Linked DNA regions of Ovis aries. The protein of the gene in region 1 interacts with the protein of each later gene in a pairwise test. Links are inferred from orthologs where the notes say so. Each region holds a gene or a part of one and is shown on either strand. Other genes may lie near its edges.

Evidence for each region.
Region 2: the proteins of ALDOA (region 1) and ENO3 interact in a two-hybrid assay, tested with the Homo sapiens proteins (2 studies listed by BioGRID and IntAct, with this or other methods). The link is inferred for Ovis aries from reciprocal best matches to the Homo sapiens genes ALDOA and ENO3.

What each region holds. Positions count from the first base shown.
Region 1 is NC_056077.1:26,724,536-26,735,527, reverse strand, and holds ALDOA (fructose-bisphosphate aldolase A), read left to right. Parts: upstream 1-3,821; 5' UTR 3,822-3,927; intron 3,928-4,215; exon of another isoform or gene 4,216-4,277; intron 4,278-4,928; 5' UTR 4,929-4,943; coding exon 4,944-5,084; intron 5,085-5,281; coding exon 5,282-5,408; intron 5,409-5,495; coding exon 5,496-5,707; intron 5,708-6,555; coding exon 6,556-6,610; intron 6,611-6,740; coding exon 6,741-6,901; intron 6,902-7,235; coding exon 7,236-7,319; intron 7,320-7,436; coding exon 7,437-7,611; intron 7,612-7,775; coding exon 7,776-7,975; intron 7,976-8,064; coding exon 8,065-8,160; 3' UTR 8,161-8,367; downstream 8,368-10,992. Other genes in the region: late cornified envelope-like proline-rich protein 1, read left to right, coding at 1,807-1,920. UniProt on the Homo sapiens protein: Catalyzes the reversible conversion of beta-D-fructose 1,6-bisphosphate (FBP) into two triose phosphate and plays a key role in glycolysis and gluconeogenesis. In addition, may also function as scaffolding protein.
Region 2 is NC_056064.1:26,317,876-26,328,894, reverse strand, and holds the start of ENO3 (beta-enolase), read left to right. Parts: upstream 1-5,794; 5' UTR 5,795-5,849; coding exon 5,850-5,865; intron 5,866-6,418; exon of another isoform or gene 6,419-6,447; intron 6,448-7,052; coding exon 7,053-7,139; intron 7,140-7,417; coding exon 7,418-7,513; intron 7,514-7,893; coding exon 7,894-7,952; intron 7,953-8,115; coding exon 8,116-8,185; intron 8,186-8,604; coding exon 8,605-8,738; intron 8,739-9,674; coding exon 9,675-9,897; intron 9,898-9,989; coding exon 9,990-10,187; intron 10,188-10,373; coding exon 10,374-10,575; intron 10,576-10,995; coding exon 10,996-11,019. Other genes in the region: E3 ubiquitin-protein ligase RNF167, read left to right, coding at 1-185; PFN1 (profilin-1), read right to left, coding at 1,111-1,208, 1,836-2,028, 3,469-3,600. UniProt on the Homo sapiens protein: Glycolytic enzyme that catalyzes the conversion of 2-phosphoglycerate to phosphoenolpyruvate. Appears to have a function in striated muscle development and regeneration.

The DNA.
Region 1 (10,992 bases):
AAATGCTTTTAATACCCTCTTTTCTGAGGTGAGGGCAGTGTGGCCTCTCTCAGCCCCCAGTTCTGCACACAGAATGATGGTGCAGTCCTCCAAAAACCCATAGAGCTGACTTCAGCCTAGAGCAGAACTCCCCAGAGATGCCCCCAAACCACACCCCCATCACACACAAGGAAGCCGCTTTGCTCTCTCCCCTCCGCCATGATATACTTTTGCTTCCTCCTAGAGAATTCTTTTGGCAGGGACCAATGCACCCTCCCCTCACCGGAGCCCCTAGTGATATCTGATCTCACCAGTCATCCGACACCGCACCCCAAAACCTCAGCTCTTCTAAAGGTCATTCCCCTATTCCTGGCTTGGCCTGGAGTCTGATTGAGCTGTGCAACTGTGACTGTCACTAGCTCTGCCTCAGGCCTCAAGGAGCCAATCTTCTGTCACCCATCCTGGGTGTGACCCACTCCAGCCATTTGGCTGGACTCCAGTCCATGCCTGGAGCAGTGGCAGATCATCTGTGTCCCACGGCAGGAGCAGAGTGGATTGGAGCAGACCGGTTCTCCCTTCCTGTCTCTAAGGACATGCTGTTCCTATCCCATGAGAGGCAGACTTTCTGCCTCCCCTCTTCTTCTCTGCCTAGAGAGAAAATTTATTTGCTTTGATTGAATCACCCATTCAACGTTCATTTGTATCTCAGGCACCTGCTGAGCCTGAGTCCCCTGGTAGCTCAGTGGAGATAGGAGGTGAACTGTCCCTGCCTTAGCAATCTTGAAAGAAGTTAGTATTCACGGCCCTGGGAAGCAGTGGGATCAAAGCAGGATCGCAGGGCTGGAAGCAGGCAGGCCTGGCCTCATCCCAGCCCCCTTCCCTAGTTGTATTCCTTTGCATGATCACTCCCTCTCTGAACCTTCATTTCCTCTTTTGTAAGGAGGCCCTCTACTCAAGGTTCTGATAAAGAAATGTGACTCCTTTTAAATAGTAAAAAAAAAAAAAAAAATTAAATAGGAAAATTACCATTTTTAAGGAAAACTAAAAAGACTTTTTAAAATCATTCATGGACACAGTCTGTGCCTGGCACAGAGTAGGTGCTCAGAAATGGAAGGTGAATGACAGCCAGCTTGGTCTCAGGCCAAGAAAGAAATCCACAAAACCAGCAGGTGGTTTTCATCATAGAGTGTGTGTGCTTTCCCTGTCTTAATGACTTGCAATTGTATGGGGTCGTAAGCGTATAGTGGAACCATCTCTGAGCTGAACACTGGGGCGTAAGTGTGGGGCCAGGGCTAACTGATCTCTGGCCCTCAGTCTCCTCATCTATAAAATGGGAAGAAAGAAGGGATGTGCATGCATGCTAAGTTGCTTTAGTCGGGTCTGACTCTCTGCTTCCCCATGGACTATAGCCTGCCAGGCTCCTCTGTCCATGGGATTCTCCAGGCAAGAATACTGGAGTGGGTTGCCATGCCCCCCTCTAGGGGCTCTTCTCAACCCAGGGATCGAACTCAAGTCTCTGGAGTCTCCTGCACTGGGAGGCGGATTCTTTACCACTAGTGCCAACCGGGAAGCCTAAAAGAAATGACCTCCCCCCCAAATGACTTCTTCCAGCTCCTTCCAGTTGTTAGGAACATTGCCTCCTGGCTGATTTCTCAACATCACAAGGAGCTGATTTCTTCCCAGGAGTGGTGGATGGTACCCTCTGATCCACTGGGCAAGTGGGACTTTCCAGGCCTCTCTGTTCCCTTCTCCCTTGAAAAGGAAACAGCTCCAGGCTTTGGTGCCCTTCCCTCGCCCACCTCCCTCACCCCAACTCCTCTCCCGCAGGACTGGGCCCCTCGCTGCCCTCGCTGCTGCCCGCTCTGCGACTGTGCCTGTGCGTGCCAACTTCCTGACTGCCAGAGCCTCAACTGCCTCTGCTTTGAGATCAAGCTCCGATGACGATCCAGGGTCCCTGCTCTTTGGGGAGCGGCCAGCCCCCAGGGGCCACAGGCCCTGTTCCCTGAGGGGACTCAGGACACCTTTCTCCAGGCCATTGGAACCACAAATGGCCTGCCCAGCTCACCGACCTGGGAACCAGCAGTGGAGAGCCTGGCTCCCTGAAGAGCGGGACTCACAGAGCCCTTGGCCAACAGGACGGCAGCCCCTTGGCAGGGCCAGAAGAGAGAGGGGCTGGTGCTCCAGCAGGTCCCCCTGCCCTTGACTCCCCCTCCCCAAGTAACTGATCATATTTGAAGGTGAGGTTGGGGGACACTGCTCACCGTCCAGAGCATGGGACAAACTTGACTATCTGTAGGGTTACCCCAGGCACACCCTGTCCATGGACTCTTGGTTATTTTGAGGTGTGACTGTAGTGCCTGCCTGTGTGCTCTGCCTCTGAAGAATCAGGACAGCCCTGTGAGGCCCAGAGTCAGGGGATGGGGGGTCTGAGGAGGAGGCAGGGAAGGCCACAGGTCTGCATCCCCTTACCCGTCCTTCCTTCCTCACAGATTGCTGTCCAGAGATTTACTTCTCTTGACAGCCTGTTGAGGGCCTCAGTCTGGATGTCCAAGGAAGAAATCTCTGAAGTACCGGTGAGTGGGCAGGGGGCCCTCCCCGCTACCCCCAAAATAGGCAGGCCCACAAGCTTCTTCCCCATCCTTCACTTTAGGCCCCACGCTGGCGTGAATGTCAGGGGCTTCAGGTTTCCCTAAATATAGGTCCCTGCCAGGGGATCTGTGGTGAGCAAAGGGCAGGGGTCACCGGAGAAGGTCGGTTGGGGGGAGGGCGGGAGCTGCCTTATAACCCAGTCCGGGCGGGGCCTGGCTCACTCGCTGCTGACCAGGCTCGCCAGCGCCTTTGGCTTCCTCCTCACAGGTGGGCGCCAGTCGGACGGAGCGGGGTTGGGGTTGGGCTGAAGGCTCCGAGATTTAGGAGGGGGAGACCCGGCCGGTAGGATGGGGAGGCTCGGAAAGAATGTGGGAGCCAGACAGCCAGGGGGCGGATTTGATTTTGGAGAGGGAAGTCGGCGCCAGGGAGAAGTTTTGCAAGCACTCTGGCCCCATATCCCCAGACTTGCTCGGGCCGAGTGGCGGCCCGAGCGGGTTCCCGCCGGGTCCGGCTTCCCGCGGCGGGCGCGTGCGCACTCGCGGGCCACGTTGGCTCTCCCGGTCCCGGGAGCCGGACCTGCCGGGATGGAGCGCGGACGCGGCGGGGATACCCGCCGGGCGGGATACCCGGAACCGCTGCCGGCTCGCGCTCCGGGAGCCTGCCCGCGCTGCCCTCTCCTGCGCCCGGGCGGGCAGTCCCCGGGCCCCTAGATTCGGTTACAATGTGACACTCGCTGCCTCAGTGCCTCCGGAAGCTGGGGCTGCCCCAGACCGCCCGATGGGCCTGCGGGAGGGAAGCTGAGCCTCGCTGTTTTCGGGCTCTGCCACCCGCTTTTCCTCCGAACCCACCCCATTCCCATCTCCTCTGGGGCCCCAAATTCGGCTGAGTCACGGCGCCCCGAAGCACGCCAGGCGGAGGGGAGGGGGGTCGGGGGAGGAGAGGAGTTGGGGAGGGCCCCGGCGACCCGCGGGATGTGGCCCGAGTCACGTCCGAGGGGTAACGAGGGGGAAGGGCTCCGGTTCTCGCCGGACAGTCCCCGCCCAAGCGCCGCCTCCCGGCTTCGCCCTTCGGGGGCGGCCTTTCGCACATTTCCTCGCCTGCCATTGGACGCCGGGGCGCCTCCGGCCCCCTGCAAAGGGAAAAACCCGGCGCGGGGCGGAGCGGTGCCTTTATAAGGCCCGGCACCACCTCCTGCCCGCCCGCCCCCGCGCCCCGCCTCAGGAGTAGAATAGGCTGCGTTCCTCTTGGAACGCGCCGCCGAACCGGAGTCCTGGTGACGAGTGCCGCGTTCCCTCCCTCAGTCCACTCCGCCAGCCCTCCACCGCTGCGCCCCGCCAGCCTGCCCCTCTCCTGTGCCAGGTGAGCGCTCCCCGCCACGTGCGAAGGTCAGGGAGGGGGTCGTGGCGAAGGATCCCGGGGGCAGACGCGGTCGGGGGTCCGCACGGAGCCCCCCAACCCGGCCCCAGCATCTTCCTCCTCCGCCACCACCCACACGTTTGCTCCTAGCCCGGCCTCCCCGACTCTTCCAGCCTGAGCTCCCTGGGTTTGCTGCGCAACGCAGCAACCGCTCCGCGCGCTGAGTCACAGCGGGGAGGAAGGAAGCCAGGCGAGATGAAGGGCCGTTCCCCGCTCCCCTTTTCTTGTTAGGACTCCGGGTGCAAAAATGACGGCCCCTTTGCCTCTGCAGGGATCCTAGGAGGCATCGAGAGGTGGGAGCCAGCTCATTTACTGCCTCAGGGTTCCCAAAAGCGGGTGGTTGGTCCCTATCCTGGGAGACCGGTGCTCCTGGCCAGGAGGGGAAACCTCTTGGCAGCGCATGAAGCCCCATTAACACTTTCCCTATCTTTCCTTATCGGGTGACCTTGATTCTGAGCCTGGAACAGCTGCAGCCGCGGAGCAGACAGGAGCATTTTCAGGGGAAGGGGTGGGGCGCTTGCCTCTCCTCCACGTTGTCTTACCCTGCATGAGCAGTGAGGCCAACCCTCACTCCTTTCCTACGCGCCCCCCGCCCCCCCGGGCTAGGTTTCCTTCGCCGCCCTTTTCTGGGCTTCCGAGGACCACCCCACACCGCCACCTTTTTCCTAACACCCTCCCCCCCGCCTTGGGGGAGCAGCCTGACCTTGGGGTGTCCTTGAGGCAATGGAACCTGGGCCAGCCCTGGGATCTCAGGTGGACTGGAAGGAACACTCGTATCACAGCCAGAGATCTGAGTTCTAATCTCAGATCAGGCCCTTGGGTTGCTGTGTGGCTTGATACACAGCTTTTTTCCCTTCTCTGGCTTCTTTCAGATGAGAAGGTTGGGCCTGCTGCCTTCCGCACAACTTCTAATTCCAAAATACTCCGGTTTGGTTTTGCTTCAGGGCAAGGTGACCCCCATGGCACAGCGCAAGCCAGAAGGGTCCGGCTTCCACATGACCTGCCTGTCCATGGCTCTGGCCTATTCCTTTAGGCCAGATGCCAATATACAGCCCCACCCTCAGCTGGGTAACACCCAGAAACAAACAGAGTTAGGAAAGGTACAGGAGGCAGGCCTACTATAGGGAAGTTGGGTGTAAGGGAGAGCCTGGGGCAGGAAGTGCCCCGAGACCTGCCGGGAGTGGGGCAGGGGAGGTAGGAAACCTTTCCCCTGACCTCCAGGCAAGGGGCCCTGCTGGTTGGGAGACCAGGGGAAGACTCCACTAACTAGCCCTCCCCCATGTGTCTCCTCGCCCAGGAACTGACAGGCACCATGCCCCACCAATACCCAGCACTCACCCCGGAGCAGAAGAAGGAGCTCTGTGACATCGCTCACCGGATTGTGGCTCCGGGCAAGGGCATCCTGGCTGCAGATGAGTCCACCGGTGCGGGCAGGGCACAGGGGGAGGAGGGCCCAGGGGGTGGGGTTGAGCGGCTGACCCCTTTAATTCCCATGTGATGCTTTCCTCCAGGGAGCATTGCCAAGCGACTGCAGTCCATTGGCACTGAGAACACTGAGGAGAACCGGCGCTTCTACCGCCAACTGCTGCTGACCGCCGACGACCGCGTGAATCCCTGCATCGGGGGCGTCATCCTCTTCCACGAGACGCTCTACCAGAAGGCTGATGATGGGCGTCCCTTCCCCCAAGTTATCAAAGCCAAGGGCGGCGTCGTGGGCATCAAGGTGAGGGGGCTAGGCCTTGGGGTGGGAGATGTGAGATGAATGCGCGTGTGCTAAGTCGCTTCAGTCATATCCGACTCTTTGCAGTCCTATGGACCATAGCCCACAGCTTCCTTTGTCCATGGGATTCTCCAGGCGAGAATATTGGAGTGGGTTATCATGTCCTCCAGGTAATCTTTCCCACCCAGGGATCGAACCTGCTGTCTCTTATGTCTCCTGCATTGGCAGGCGGGTTCTTACCACTAGCACCACCTGGGAAGCCCAGTGAGATGGATGAGGGGCAAGGAAATCCAGGATAACAGGCAGGGGTTGGGGTGGGGATGAACTGGGTGGGGAGACTTGGGTGGAGTCTGCCCCGATCACCTCCAAATTGTGTGTAAGAAGCCAGTAACTTATGGGACTTGCTTGGCATTTTAATCCTTGTGATTTTAAAAGCCACAGGTTATGTTTATATCATTGAAAAACCAGAAGCTCAAGGCCATGAAGTGTTTTGCTCACACTTAGTAAATGGTAGAATTCAAGCTCTCTGTGTGTGCCTCTTGGGACCAGATACCATGGCTAAGTGAAACACTGGCAAACCAGAAGGATACTTGAGAGATGAAGTAAAGCTGGGACAGGGTGGGGCTACAGAGGAGAAAAAGGCTGTAGAGCAAGAGTTTTTGTTGTTGTTTTTTAAATACTATTTATCTGCTGTGCTTGGTCTTCGTTGCAACACCCAGAATCTTTGATCCTCGTTGCAGAACACGGGTTCTTTAGTTGCGGTGTGTGAGATCTAGTTCCCTGATCAAAGATTGAAAAAAGGGCACCAGAGACCACTTCCCATCCTATCTTGTTGCCCTCCACCCCAACAGGTAGACAAAGGTGTGGTACCCCTGGCAGGAACAAATGGCGAGACAACCACCCAAGGTGAGAACCGCTTAGTTCCTGGCCCTACCAACCAGCCCACCCTGGTCGGTACCCCACTGGGTGCCCAGGCCAGGTGGGAGCCACCTGCCCCCTCCGCTGGCCAGCTCTGACCCCTCTGTCCCCTCTTCAGGGCTGGATGGGCTTTCGGAGCGCTGTGCCCAGTATAAGAAGGACGGAGCTGACTTTGCCAAGTGGCGTTGCGTGCTGAAGATCGGGGAACACACCCCTTCTTCCCTCGCCATCATGGAAAACGCCAATGTCCTGGCCCGTTATGCCAGCATCTGCCAGCAGGTGGGCCTGTAGGTCCCCAGCAGGCCACGACCCACCTGATTCCATTCCAGTGTGTCAGCTGGCCTGCCACCCATCTGCCAGCTTATCCCAAGGCTCCGAATCCTCACCAAGCTCCAGGCTTGGGTCCATGAAGGGCTCTGCAGGCAGAAGGGCAGAATAGGGATTATGTGGGTGGATCTGAGGAGACAGCTAATCTCCTCCAATCTGTTTTGAATTGGGGAGGGCTGTGTAGCCAGGAGTCCTGGAGATAAGATCTTGGTGAATAGCTGTGGAGGGCTGGAGGTGGGGCTCTGGGTTAGGAGGCCTCACTGCTACCCTGTTCCTCACCCCACAGAATGGGATTGTACCCATTGTGGAGCCCGAGATCCTCCCTGATGGGGACCATGACTTGAAACGCTGTCAGTATGTAACCGAGAAGGTAGGTGGCCTGCCAGCCTGGGCAGTGAGGTGGGCTAGGGAGGTGGGCCGGGGCCCCTGGGGTGACCCTCGTCCCCCCAACTCCACCTCACCCCACTTCGGTCCCACCCTGCTGTAGGTGCTGGCTGCTGTCTACAAGGCTCTGAGTGACCACCACATCTACCTGGAAGGCACCTTGCTGAAGCCCAATATGGTAACCCCAGGCCACGCCTGCACCCAGAAATATTCTCACGAGGAGATTGCCATGGCAACTGTCACGGCACTGCGCCGCACAGTGCCCCCCGCTGTCCCTGGTGAGACCCATTCCTCATCTTGACCTCTGGGAGGTAGATGGACTTACCCGTGATCCTTGTGCCCATATGGTCTTGATTTCCAGGTCAGCTTCTAGGGCCTTCTTCCAGTCCCCTGGGTTGCTTGACTACAACCCCTCCCCCCATGTCACCCCCTCATTCTACAGGTATCACCTTCCTATCCGGAGGCCAGAGTGAGGAGGAGGCATCCATCAACCTCAACGCCATCAACAAGTGCCCCCTGCTGAAGCCGTGGGCCCTGACCTTCTCTTATGGCCGAGCCCTGCAGGCCTCTGCCCTGAAGGCCTGGGGTGGAAAGAAGGAGAACCTGAAGGCTGCCCAGGAAGAATACGTCAAGCGAGCCTTGGTAAGGATGGAGCAGGAGGCGGGCAGGGTGCTGGGGTGGACCGGATTCTAAGAAGGGACCTTCTCACTCTGGCTCCTCTCCCTTCTTAGGCCAACAGCCTTGCCTGCCAAGGAAAGTACACCCCAAGTGGTAAGGCAGGGGCTGCAGCCAGCGAATCCCTCTTCATCTCTAACCACGCCTACTAAGCCAACGTGTTCTAAGGCTGCCCCCTCAACACTCCAGGCCCCGTCCCCTCCCACACTCACTCTTGAAGAGAGGGGCTTCATCTGGGGCTCCAGGCTGCTCTTTCCCGTCACTCTTGCCTCCTTGTGACATTGGTGCCTGGTGTTGTCTGTGTACGCTAACTCCACTGTTTCCAGCCTACTGCCAATAAACAGCTATTTAAGGGGGAATCTGGTGTGCATGTCTGTGATCTCTAGGGCAGGGGAGGCCTGGGGGAGGTGGCAGAGCCCAGAGAAGAAAGAGCCCTTGCTTTATTTCTTTCTGAAGCAGAAAAGTAGGTGAAGGAGATGGACTCCTTTAGTACTCTGTTTGATGCTTACCCGGGGCTTCATGAGAAAAGCTTGTGGATTTTCTTCCAACCAGCCAGTGCTCTGCTCCTTCTACCAGCAGCATCTGATAAGGCCTTTACAGTTAGGAAGTGTGTGTGCAGCCTCCTTAGGAGGCTGCAGCCTCAGCCTCAGTTTTAGGCCCAGAACTCACAGGTATAGAAGGCCCCTGTGACATACATACAAAAAATAGCCACTGACAAAAAGTAAGCTGTCCTGAATCTGTAAACTGGGCAACATAAGTATTCTATGCTATGCTATGCTAAGTCACTTCAGTCAAGGACCCAAAGATGAGTGTTTCTTGAAGAGATGAATGCGATTACTGTTGCTGCTAAGTCGCTTCAGTCGTGTCCGACTCTGTGCGACCCCATAGATGGCAGCCCACCAGGCTCCCCCGTCCCTGGGATTCTCCAGGCAAGAACACTGGAGTGGGTTGCCATTTCCTTCTCCGATGCATGAAAGTGAAAAGTGGAAGGGAAGTCGCTAAGTTGTATCCGACTCTTAGCGACCCCATGGACTGCAGCCTACCAGGCTCCTTGGTCCATGGGATTTTCCAGACAAGAGTACTGGAGTGGGGTGCCATTGCCTTCTCCAAAGTATTCTATAGGAGTATGCTATTACCAATTCGTCCTTAAGACATCTTGCTGGGAAATGTATTGATTGAAACAAGATTATGAATGCATATCCTTAATACGGTTGAGCTCATCAGTCTTCCCATCTTTAAAAGGAGAAGGGCTGACTTCTGAGCTGTGGAACCCCTTGAAGAACCTGGGATCCTAACACCCACATCAACAACAGACAGACAAATATGTACCAACAGAACTGTGGCGCTCAGGTTCCAGGTTAAGAATTGAACCTCTGTGGCTTCTGCACTCAATGCAGCCAGAATGAGGGTCCTGCACTTACCCTATGTCATGCCTGGAACCCTTCCCCATTCACCCAGGCTGTGGAGTATACTAACGACACCAGATCTTTTCAGGTATTAAAGATTCTAGTCATAGCCAGGGACTGCATTAGTCCTGCCACTGCCCAAATTTCCTGATGTGAACTCTTTCCTGTCTGAGTGCCACTCTAGAGGAAGAAAAAACATTTTTCATCTTTCTGATCTCTGTACCTTCTGAAGTCCTACAGTCATCTGCATAGAAACCTAGCACCTCCTGGGAGTTGTTTGTCCTTTCCCTTTCTCTGCACATTTGCATTTGTTGCCTACATCCAAAACCGAGCTGTATCTAGTGTCCCTTCAAATCGGCCAGCCTCACTACTGTACCTAGCCTCACTCAGCTCTCTGTGAAACAGTCTGAAGTAAAGCAAATAAAAATTGAGGGTCCATAGAAGATAGCAAAATGGACATTCCAAAAGGCCTCTGGCACCAAGAAATTTGTTGAAAGACCAGTCACTTCCTCTGCCTGCAGCAAGAAACTAGGGAAGCAGAGGACTTCAAATGCCAGTTTAGGGTGTTTTTATAAAGTTTATAACAACAACGTGAACACCAGAAAGAGTAAGTGGCAGAAGGAGAAGAAATTAGAACTTAGGACACAGCTTCCTGGGTTCAAATCAACTTTGATTCAAATCCAAAGCTCTTAGCTATGCAACTGTGAACAAGTTACTTAACCTCTTTTAGCCAGTTTCCCTCTTAGAAAAACCAACACAACTGTAGACAATAAGCAGCTGAGTTCAAGGGATCATTCTGGAATCAGGGAGGTCATGTTGATTGAGGTATACGCTTGGTGTGGGGAAGGTGGAGTCCTTTTGGCTTCTAATTTCAGAGGTCCCCAGGGCAGATTTCTCTGGGGCTCTGGAAAGAGACTAGAATTCCTTCACCCACTGAACAAATACTTATGTATGCCAACTGGGTCCAGCCTTGTTCAAAGTAAGCCCTGGGCTGCAAGTGTGAACAGGACCAAGTTCCATCTCTCACGGATTGTAATGGGGGAAAGTGAAAGTGTTAATAGCTCAGTCGTGTCCAACTCTGCGACCCCATGCACTGTAGCCCACCAGGCTCCTCCATAAGATTTCCCAGGCAAGAATACTGGAGTGGGGTTGCCATTCCCTTCCCCAGGGGCTCTTGCCAACCCAGGGATCCAACCAAGGTCTCCTGCATTGCAAGCAGATTCTTTATCACTTAGCCACTAGGGATCAGTACTAGGGGAGGTCCATTAAAACAGGTAAACAAAAACTTGTAACCTAAAGCTACAAGGCGGTGGCCCGGCTTACTGAGTTTGAGGTCCCTATCAGCCTTCCCGGTGCCAATCAGCTTAGCCTACCACCACTTCCGCCCGCTCCTTGCCGATATCCGGTTCCTCCGGCTTATTGCCCTTCTTAGGCTTGAGGGGGTGGGGTAAGGGCGCGGCGCGGGAGTGGGAGTGCGTGTATGACGCCACATCCGGCTCGGGGCGGAACTGATCTCCCGCTGCTTCCGCGGCGGGGCCGGAAGTAGAAGCGGTGGTGGCGGCGGCCCAAAGCGAAGGG
Region 2 (11,019 bases), on another chromosome or scaffold:
AGGGACAAGAGGGTGATGAGGAAGGGGAGCCAAGGGACCAGCCTGCCTCAGAACGGACCCCTCTTCTGGGCTCCAGCCCCACACCTCCCTCCTCCTTTGGCTCTCTAGCTCCAGCACCCCTTGTCTTTCCTGGGTCTTCAACAGACCCCTCACCCTCTACCTCTTCAGCTGCCATCCTGGTTTAATACTCCCTTCCGCACCACCTCTGATGACCTGTTTGCACAGCCCCTCTTGCTCTCTCCAGTCTTCTAGTTTTGAGGGATAGGAAATACTTCCACCCCAGATTTCTCCCCTTACCCAGCTCCATCCTTTTGAAGGGGTTCGGGGTACAAAGGGACAGGGTCTTCACTTACTGGGTTAATAAAACTGTTTTTGTGGACTAAGGAAGGGTGAGATCATTCTCACACAGGGAAATGTATTATCTTTTGGGGAACTGCCCCTTTCTACCATACAGGGGTGTGCGGGGAGGGGAGGCTAACCTGCCGTCTTGGGGACAGCCCCAGTAGGCATCTGTTGTGACTCAGAGAGGGAGAGCCCCACCCACACATGAAGATGACTCAACTGGCTCTGCCTTGCCCACAGGCCTGGACCCATTCTCTGGTCTGGATGGCTCTGTTCCATTATCCACCAATTCATCTAGCTAGCACACTGGGAACCTAGGGCTGGATATGTTATTGGAGAAGGCCTGGCCAATCTGGCCAGGTGTTTAATCCTGGACATGAAAGCAAGAAGCTCAAAATCTTAGACTTTGTATTTCCTAAACTCTCCTGCCGCTTCTAACCCCAAGCCAGGATAAAGGAGACAGGTCACAAGAGCTGTCTTCCATCCTGACACCCAGGCTAAAACCACACAGCACCTTGTTAGTAGAATCTTTTTTATTCAGAAAAAAAACCCAAAAAACAAAAAAGTTTTCCAACCACACACAGGAGGGGTACGGGTTGGGGGCAGGGGATGTCTGTCCATCCAGCCCAGGCCCCCAGCCCATGTGGTTTTGGCAGCAATAAGGGGTGTGGGGTAATGGCCCAAAAAATAAAAATGGTGTATGTATGTGTGTGGGAAGGAGAGGGGTGCAAAAGCAGTGGGGAGTGGTGAGGGGAGGGCCAGACGAGGTCAGTACTGGGAACGCCGCAGGTGAGAAGCCATTTCATAACATTTCTTGTTGATCATACCGCCGTGGACACCTTCTTTGCCCATCAGCAGGACTAGCGCTGGAGGAAAGAGAAAGGAGGCTAGGACCCAGGTGTCACCACCCCACCCCCTGCCAGCTGTTCAGCAGCTGTCCAACCCTGGGGGCTGTAACCCAACCTCATCTCTCCCAACCCCCCACACACAGGCAGGCTGTCAGTCACCCTGAAACAATAGGTCTTTTCAAAAGGGGAAAATCAAGCTTAAAGGCTGGAAAGGAGCACAGTAAAATTTAGGGGTCAAAGGCTCCTGGACTGTTGACTCATGTGTTCAGGCTAGAAATGGCTGTGGATGAGCCGGCCACCTCCAAGTTTTCACAAAAGAGCTCAAAAGACAAGAGCAGAATGCTGACTTACAATGAACCTTTTACCTCCTCCAAGAAAACAGGGAGTTTCTCCTCTGAAAATGCTCAAGGTAAGAAGCAACTTAAGAGGTAATACAGTTCAACTTCTCTACACCGTATGGTGAGGCGTATGGTGAGGCACTGAGACAGAACTAGAGGAACAATTCGATGCCCCAGCATCCAGCAGGCTGGGAGTAGAAACCTGGTTTGATCCTTTCATACTAAGTGACCACACAGAAGAACCCAAAAGATTAACAAAAGGAGGTACGTTAGGGATTTTGGAGCTAGAGAATGGGTAAGAACTCACTCTTGGCAGTCATGGTGACAGTGATATTGAAAGTTGGGGCTCCACCGGTGCTCTTGGTACGAAGATCCATGGTAAATTCTCCATCCTGCAGCAGTGAGTCCCGGATCACAGAACATTTCTGGCCCCCAAGCGTTAGCCCATTCACGAAAAAACTTGACCGGTCTTTGCCAACCAGGATACCGACCTCAGCAGGCTGAAAAGGGAACCAAGCACCCAGCAAGTTAGTCAATACACCAAAGTTCTCACCTGTCTTCCATTTCTCAAGGAAGCTAAGCCCCCTGGGGTGAAAGGTGTATGTTATGTGCTTTGTACACATTCGTGAAATTTGAGAAACTCAGGATTGTTGGAAGTGCACAAAAATATGATCTTGAAACCTAGAGAATGGTACTAGGAAGGGACAACATGGTCCTCTGACTCAGATGTCGATTTAGATGTCGTTTAATAGGGAAAGCAAACCCAGTAAATAAATGGGGCCAAAAACCAGTTAAGAGAATGGAGTGGAGAGCCTTGGATGCTCAGAACTCTCCTTCAGGAAAAGCAGAAGCGAAGAGGGGAAGGGAGGGGGCGGGCAAAGCAGGAGAAGCAACTTTGCCCTTATTTGGTCAAAGGTTCTGCAGGAGTTGTTAGGGGCCCGGACGCCTGGGTCTCTAAGTAACTTAGAGTTTAGGTTCAGGTATCTATGCTCTAAGATGAGCAAGCAGATGCCTTGGGGCATTCAGCGAAAGTCGAAGAACTTTTGGAGGGGGCCTGGGGCTAGACCCGACAGCCAGCTCTCGGGTCTAGATACCCCGGGGAACGTATCTTCCCCTCCCCCTTACACCCCAAATCCCCACATCCGGTCCCCTCCCGCCCGGAAATCCCCTTCCCCCCCTTTCGAACTTCCGCTCCCCCTCCCCACTTCCGGGCAGTGTGGACAGGGGAGTTGGTGATGGGGACAGCAGCAGTCATCCCTTCTTCCTTCACTTATACTGTCCTAGAACTTCTCACAAAGTTCCCCTGCTCCAGGCCCTGCCTGATGGCGGGAAGGGAAGGCGAGGGGACTCCCGGGACTGGTCTCTCAAGAATGCTGAGTCCGACCGGCCGACTGGCGGGGAGGGGGTCGTCGTGTGGCGCCCTAGCCCTCTCTAATGGAGTTGGGAGGGGCAGGGAACCCACGGAGATCGGGCTAGGGACCCAGGCCATGCGACTGGGGCTCCCTCCCGGTTCAGAGGAACAATAGTGGAAGGGGCGCGAGCTGGCGGCCGGAAGTGGAGCTAGGGGTCCCGGGGTCCCCAAGTCCCTGCTCAATCAAAATCCTGGGTAGAAACTACGGCGCGTGCCCGACCCGCCCTGGAGGAGGCGGAAGTGGGCCGCCGCACCGGGCGGCGCACCCTCCCCGCCCCGTGCCCCGGATGTAACGCCCCGTCGCGGAAAGCGGGGCGGCGGGCGGGTTGGGCGCCGCCGCCCGGGGCGGAGGATTCAGGGGGCCATGGAGGGGCCCGCTCACGTGCAGCCGCCATTCGCGCCACTTCCAGGGCAAGGACCGGGTCACGGCCTTTCGCCGCCCTCCGCAGACCGCGCCCGCCCCCACCCGAGTCCCTCCCTCAGGGTCCAAGCCGGGCCAGTCCCCAGGACTGTGCAGGCCTCTCAGTACCGTGATGTTGACGAAGGTCTTGCCGGGGACGGCGGCCCAGACGGAGGGCGAGTCCTTATAGCCCACGATGGCTGCGTCCTGACAGGTCCCGTCCGCCATGAGGTTGTCGATGTAGGCGTTCCACCCGGCCATGGCGCTGCTATTGGGGCTGCTCTCGGGGCTGCTGCTGGGGCCGCGGGCTGGGCTCGGGCTGGCGGGCGGGGGAAGACGGAGAGCTTGGGGCACGCGCTGCCGTCCGGACCGCGGCTCTGCTAGCTGTGCAGCAGCCCTCGCACCGCCACTTCCTGCTCCTCCCCACCCCCCTAGATTTTTATTTGCAAAGGGCGGTGGGGGCGGGGCTTGCTCCCCACTCCCTCTCTCCCTCCCCTCTCCTGCCCAGATACCGAACTTTGCAAATGCATTTTAAAAAATCCCTCCCCCTATTGCAAAATTTGCAGAGTTCGATGGAAAGCGAGGCAAAAAGAATCGGGGTGGGTGGGGATGGGTTAAGGTTAGGGCCCGCTCCACTCCGCCTAAACTATCAGACTTTAGTGGAAGGAAAGGTAGTGAGCCACAGGGAAGAAGGAAAGTGAAAGAAGTAAGAATTAGCAAACTGCAAATTTAGCAAATTAAAGAGGATTCGGGTAACTCAGGGTTAAACAGAACGACTCCCCCTTCCCCCACCTCTGCCGGGGGCAGGAACGGCGGGCGGCGGCGGGGCGCGTGCGCCCGCGCCTGCGCCGGGGCCGAGAGGGAAAGCGCGTGGGGCGGTTAGGGCAGACGGCGGGCTTCGCGGGCGCGCGCCCGGGCGCGCCAAGCGGGACTGATTTGGACCCTCGGTGAGGGCAGGCAGGCCGGGGACGTGTCTCCCGCCGGGCGGAAGGGGCGGAGGCGAGGCGTGGCGTGTGCCTGGCCGCTTCTGCCCTCTTGATTTTATTTATTCAAGAAATAAGGTAGTAAAAGGAAATTAGACCAAATACCCCCGGCCGTCTTCAGAATTGAAGGCACCCACCAGGGACACTTCTGTCCCCAGCATCTGCCCGGGCGGCACAAGCGGTACTCACTGGAGCCCACCTCGACTCCAGGGGGTTGTGACTCACTGGATCGGCTCCAGCCTCATTCCTCACTCCACGTCCCAGCCCTGCCCGAACCCCGGTCAGCAGTTTGGGTCACCGGCTGTGCCCCTTGGCCCGTGTCTGCAGAGGTCATTGAGCACCGTGGGGCCAGACGGGCGGGCCTATTTTCCAAGGCGGAAGAATACTAAGCGGTTTCTCAAGATTGCAACTTTTTCAAGAGGAGGAAAGTCCCTTCAACTTTGCCCTTTTGGGTTTTTCTTGTTCTTTTTCAGTAAAACTTAAGCTAAGAACTTGTGTGCGATGAGTTCGCTGGCTATCCACCGGGAAGCGGGTGGGGCAGGACCTGGAGTCCGGCTTAGGTGACTCTAGCTCGCGCTGGCCGCCGGGGCCGCTGAGGGGCTAGGCCGCTTCCGGTCCCTCGGGGGAGGGGCGGCTCCCGGGCGCGAAGGGGCTTCGTTTCCCTCCTGTCCTCCGTAGCGGGCGCGGCCACTCGGAACCCACGGAGCACCCGACGCCCCCCGAACCAGTGTTCCTCGACAGCCGCCGCGGCTGAGTCACTGGCCAACTCGGGCGGGGCCGCAGGCGGGCACGTGGCGGCGCTCCCCGCCCGCCATCCTGACCTCTGGCCTACCGCACCCCCTACCCCAGGGTGGAAATCTCCCGAGAGGGAGCGGCCAGAGATAAGGGGGTGGGGGGTGGCGAGAAGGCTGGGAGACACACCGCGGGGCAGGGCGGGGAGGGGAGCTCGGGAGAGAGCTTGGGGGTGAGTCACCGGGCGCCGGCCGCTCAGGCGCCGGCAGGCTAGGTCTCCTGAGTCCGGGGCGAAGAGCCGAGAAGCCGGTGACCCTCGCCCGCCGGCCGGCCAGCCGGCTTGAAACCCGCATGCCCTCCGCTCCTGGCCGGAGCTGCAGCCAAAGTCAGGGCTGACTTTACTTGCGCCGCACCCACTGAGACGGAGAGAGTCACAGACTGCAGAGACCCACTTCCCCGCCGTGCTAGAGGCCCACCCGATTGGCCCCCGGCGGTCAGACGCTCAGAAAGGGGCACTTCACCTTCTGTCCATTCATTTTTTGGGGGGTCACTTTTGATTCAGCACCATTCATTGATGGGCTGGGATCACGCCCTAAAGCGCCAGCAGTCGCGATCGGTGGAGAAAGGGCTTCTGACTGACAGCTTCCACGCCGGCGATAAGTGCTGTCCCAGCGCTATCAGCAGGGCGCCGCGCCAACTCCTAGGGCCTGTCTAAATTCGTCTGTCTCCCCCCCTCCCCCACTCCCCTCGCCGGCCTGGAGAGGGTAGGATGGGGTGGAGCGGAGAGAGACCGCCATGAGGACCCTGAGAGGTGAGACCCTCTCGCCTTCTGAGTGGGCAGTTCAATTTAGAGCTCTGCTCTCGGCCGGAACCCCCTCCCCAGCTCCCATTGAGGACAGAGGCAGTCCCCCGCCCGCCAAGTGAGCTATGGATGTCACTCCTGCAGCCCCTTTTCCAGGCCCCCTCCCCAGCCCTGTAGGGCTCAGGTTACCCTTGGCCTTTCCTAAAGGGCACTAGTTCCTCTTTAACCTTTGCAAAAGAGGAATACAATCCTGACACGGGGAGAGACCCCTCCCCCCAATTCTGAAGCCCCTCTCCTCTTTCTGCCCAGGAACGGAATTAAAAATAAGGACTTTTATTGGAGAACAGAGAAAGGAGGGGATAGTCATTGACCTTTTGGGAAGGGGGCAGGTGCCTAGGGCCAAAAGCTGCTGCTTTAGGCTGTAGTGGGCACTTGGCTGCCAGCCTGGCTTCAGGGGGAGGATGGAGAGGGGGAGAGGCGGGGCTGGCTGGGGTACAGGGTGGCTCCAGGATAAATTCCCGGCCTGAGAGGGGGTGAGCTGACACTGTCCCAGCTGCCACCTAGACTTAGAGCCCAGCGAAGACATCCCAGGTCTGGTGAATCTTCCAGCCCCAGGGGATGGGGGTGGTAAAGGATGAGGGCTGTGCTGGCCTGGGGGAAATGTCAGCTTGTGCTTAAGAATCCTGGAGGAGTTGGAGCATACAGGATGGGGGTACCCAAGGATAGGAAAACGAGACTGTGAAGAGAGGCATACAGAGATGACGGAGAAGGGGAGTTAGAGTTGGAGCCAGGTGGTGGAATTTGGGCCCCCTGAGGATTTGGAGAAGGCTGAGGAGCAGGAAAAGTGAGGTAGAGTAACAGGAGAGGCTTTAAAGGCTAGGAAGCCATGGAAAACAGAGTATTTGGCCAGGGGGTGGAGGGAGAAGGCATAGTGCAGCTTTGTGGGAGATGGGGTTCAGCAAGTGGTGGAGTTTTAAAAGAGAGGCCCCATATTCTGAGGATGGGAGGGTGGAATAGGAGCTGTTCTGAGTGGGGGAGGGGGCTGTGCCTGCCACTTTGGTCTGTGACCTTTTTGTGAGGTATTTTTAGCTCCAGCACCTGCCTCCTTGGGGTGGGGAAGACTCTTAAAGGGCAAGGGATTTGGGGTTCCTTAAGGGATCAGCTGTCCACACTTACTCACACCTCTCACCCTGCAGCCATGGCCATGCAGAAAATCTTTGCCCGGGAAATCCTGGACTCCAGGGGCAACCCCACTGTGGAGGTGGACCTGCACACGGCCAAGGGTAACCCAGGGCTATTGAACTGGTTTACCTGGGAAGACCCCCAACTCCATCTGCCTTTGCCCCCCAGCTGCATGCCACATCCACTCTTTTCTCTGGAATCCCCTTCTCCAGACTTCTCCCCAAGCCTTGCTCTTCCAGCTTGACTCCGCCCCCCCCACCCCACAGTGAGGAGCCATGGTCTCTCTACACTGCCCCCTGTCTCTGGGTTCCAAGAGGAGACCTCGGCCCTTTGGAGGTGAATGGGATTCTCTGTGATCTTCCAATTCCTCCCATCCCAGGCCGATTCCGAGCAGCTGTGCCCAGTGGCGCTTCCACAGGTATCTATGAAGCTCTGGAACTAAGAGATGGAGACAAGTCTCGCTACCTGGGGAAAGGTGAGGAAAGACCAAGGCTGGAGGAGCCATATGTGAGGGGGGCTTTCAGGATGTGGCATGAAATGTCTGCATAAGGTAGAGAAGGGGTCCCCAAACTCCAGGGCACGGACTGGTACCTCTTGTCAGATCACTGGCAACATTAGATTAGAAATAAAGTGCACAATAAGTAGAATGCACTTGGATCATATGGAAACCATCCCATACCCCTACCCCATGCCTGGTCCATGCAAAAACTGTCTTCCATGAAATTGGTCCCTGGTGCCAAAAAGGTTGGGCATCGGAAGAAGAAGGGAAACTGAAAGTTCTCCAGGAGCTGGGGGCCTCGGGAAGAGACCTGATTGCATAGGAGATCTGAACCCCCTGCTTTGCGGCCTCTCCAGGGGTCCTGAAAGCTGTGGAACACATCAACAAGACCCTCGGCCCCGCGCTGCTGGAAAAGGCAAGTAGAAGACGCACTCCACCTGCTGCCTCATCCCCAGAAGCTCAGGCTTGGCCAGCCAAGCCTTCTGACCCGATACCTGCATGTCTTTTTCCTCTAGCTCACATCCTGACTCCTGAGAAATCTAACTTCTGCTCTCCCCTCCTTAAACTTGCCTTTTCAGAAACTAAGTGTAGTGGATCAAGAAAAAGTTGACAAATTTATGATTGAGCTGGATGGGACAGAGAATAAATGTGAGTGAAGGGCTAGGGACAGGGGATGGGCTGTGGGGGCCAGGGCAGAGGTAGGGGCTGGAATGCAGGGGCGGGGTTGGGGAGGACTGTGGCCTGAGGTCTGGTTAGGATTATTTCTGCATCCTGCATTTTGGGGCACAGTGTAACGGGCGGGATTTGTACTCATCCCCCAGGCATTTCCTGATGCCTGCCCCATGCCAGGCTTGGGCCCGGCTGTGGATACAGACATGAAGTTGACAAGTTTCCCTAGGGTGGGGGATCCCGGGGCCGGGTAGGGTGGGGAAGAGATAGGTTAACTTACTCAGTGCCCAGTGGTTTGGAGCTCTGGATTCTTTCTGGGGTGACCAGAGGGGACATTCTGGGAGACAGCCCTAAACCCTGTGGGTGGAGCACTCACAGTTTATACTTGCTTCCTCCAGCCAAGTTTGGGGCCAATGCCATCCTGGGCGTGTCCCTGGCCGTGTGTAAGGCTGGAGCAGCTGAGAAGGGGGTGCCGCTTTACCGACACATTGCAGATCTTGCGGGGAACCCAGAGCTGATCCTCCCAGTCCCTGTGAGTGCAGCCACCAGGTCACACCCCACAGGCACTCCACCCATCGGGGGAGGGCAGGGGCAGCCCCCAGAAAATCCACCTTCCAGACCCAACTTCCAAGAAACAGTTTCTCGAAATGGAACCTCTCCTACTGCCGTCCCCTTTCAACCTTCCCCTTTCCCACAGTCCAAACCTTCCCTTCAACCTCTCTCTGCTTCTTTCCCTAGATGTAACTGGCTCCTTCACGTTCCAATCCCAGGCTTAGTTACTCCACTTTTTCATTCTGCTGTGCCCCAACGCCAGATTGGATGGAGAGCTTCTTCATAGCAAAGATCTGGGCGTTTTATTTTTGTGTCTTCTTTAATCCTTATGAAACCAAATTTGCTCTTTATGGAAACCCTTTGAATTTAATCGCAACAATAATGTTACCATTTATTGTTACTTACTAGGCAGATTGTGTAAGAGCCTGAGCTCTGGAGACAAGCTGCTGGGTTCGAATCCTGGTTTTGTCTCTTACCTAGTTGTGTGACTTCTGGCAAGTTTATTGAACTTCTCTGAGCCTCAGTTTCCTCATCTGTAAAGTGAAGGATAATAAACTGTACCTAGTTACAGGGTGGTTTAGAGAACGAAATGAGCCAATAAAATATTATAAAGAACTTAGAGCAGTGCCTGGCCTGTAGTGAGTGCCATGACAATGTTAGGTGCGCATGCTAAGAACTGTGCATCCAACTTCTCTTAATTTTTCACCTAAGATCCTTCAGGTAAGCAGATGATATCCCTATTTTATGAAAATGAGGACAGAGGCTCTGAGGAGTAAAATTTTTCATCTAGACCACTCAGTAAGTAGGGGATCCAGGATTCCATGTTGACTTCACCCCCCCCACCCCCGCCACCCCAGTCCCTTCTTGATTCCTGGAAAAACTGGCCCAGGTTCTGAGCACCCTCTCCCTGTCTCAGGCCTTCAACGTGATCAACGGGGGCTCCCATGCTGGAAACAAGCTGGCCATGCAGGAGTTCATGATCCTGCCTGTGGGAGCCAGCTCCTTCAGGGAAGCCATGCGCATTGGGGCCGAGGTCTACCACCACCTCAAGGGGGTCATCAAAGCCAAGTATGGGAAGGACGCCACCAATGTGGGTGATGAGGGTGGCTTTGCACCCAACATCCTGGAGAACAATGAAGGTCAGTGTGAGCACTTGGAGGGGCAGGACGCTGGGGGTCCCCACAGAGATGGGGTGCACTGGAGCCTCAAGTCCTCCCTTGCCCTCTCCCAGCCCTAGAGCTGCTGAAGACGGCCATCCAGGCGGCTGGTTACCCCGACAAGGTGGTGATTGGCATGGATGTAGCAGCATCTGAGTTCTATCGCAATGGGAAGTACGATCTCGACTTCAAGTCTCCTGATGACCCCGCTCGGCACATCAGTGGAGAGAAGCTGGGCGAACTGTACAAGAGCTTCATCAAGAACTACCCTGGTGAGACCCTGGCTTCCACTGCTCCTGCCCAAGTCTGCAGCAGCTGCTCAGCACACCGGCCTTGGCCCCTCTGCTGCCACCACCTCAATCCCTCCCATCCTTAGCCCCATTGCAATTTTCTGACCCATCACCCCTTTGTGAGGCCCTTCTGACCTTTAACCCGACTCTGCTTCCCTCCTCCACCAGTGGTGTCCATTGAGGATCCTTTTGACCAGGATGACTGGGCCACCTGGACCTCGTTCCTCTCGGGGGTCAACATCCAGATTGTGGGGGATGACCTCACAGTCACCAACCCCAAGAGGATTGCCCAGGCGGTGGAGAAGAAGGCTTGCAATTGCCTGCTGTTGAAAGTCAACCAGATTGGCTCGGTGACTGAATCCATCCAGGCGTGAGTGCCTCCTGGCCCAGGGCATCATGGCCTCCCTCCACCTAGCTCTACCCTCTCCAGCCACCCTCTTGCCCACTAACTCCAGGTCTGACTCCCGCTTGGCTCCTGACCCACCCCGCTCTCTCCACCTCGAACCTTTGACTAACTCCTGACCTGACCCTGGAACTTTGGTCATTGTCACGCTGCCTCAACCCATCCCCACCCTTGCCATCCCCATCTCCCAGATTCTGCTTCTTCCCACCAGCATCTCAGGAATCCAAATTTAAGATCAGGAATCTCCCCTTCTCTCTTTCCTCAAGAACTTTACCCTCCCCACACATCTCTCATCCCCCAAAATAAAACGGAAAGGCCTCACTCAGCCCCCTGCCTTTCACCCTGAGGAAGTCCCACCAGGCCTTATCAAGTGTCCTCTCCACCCAGCTGCAAACTGGCTCAGTCTAATGG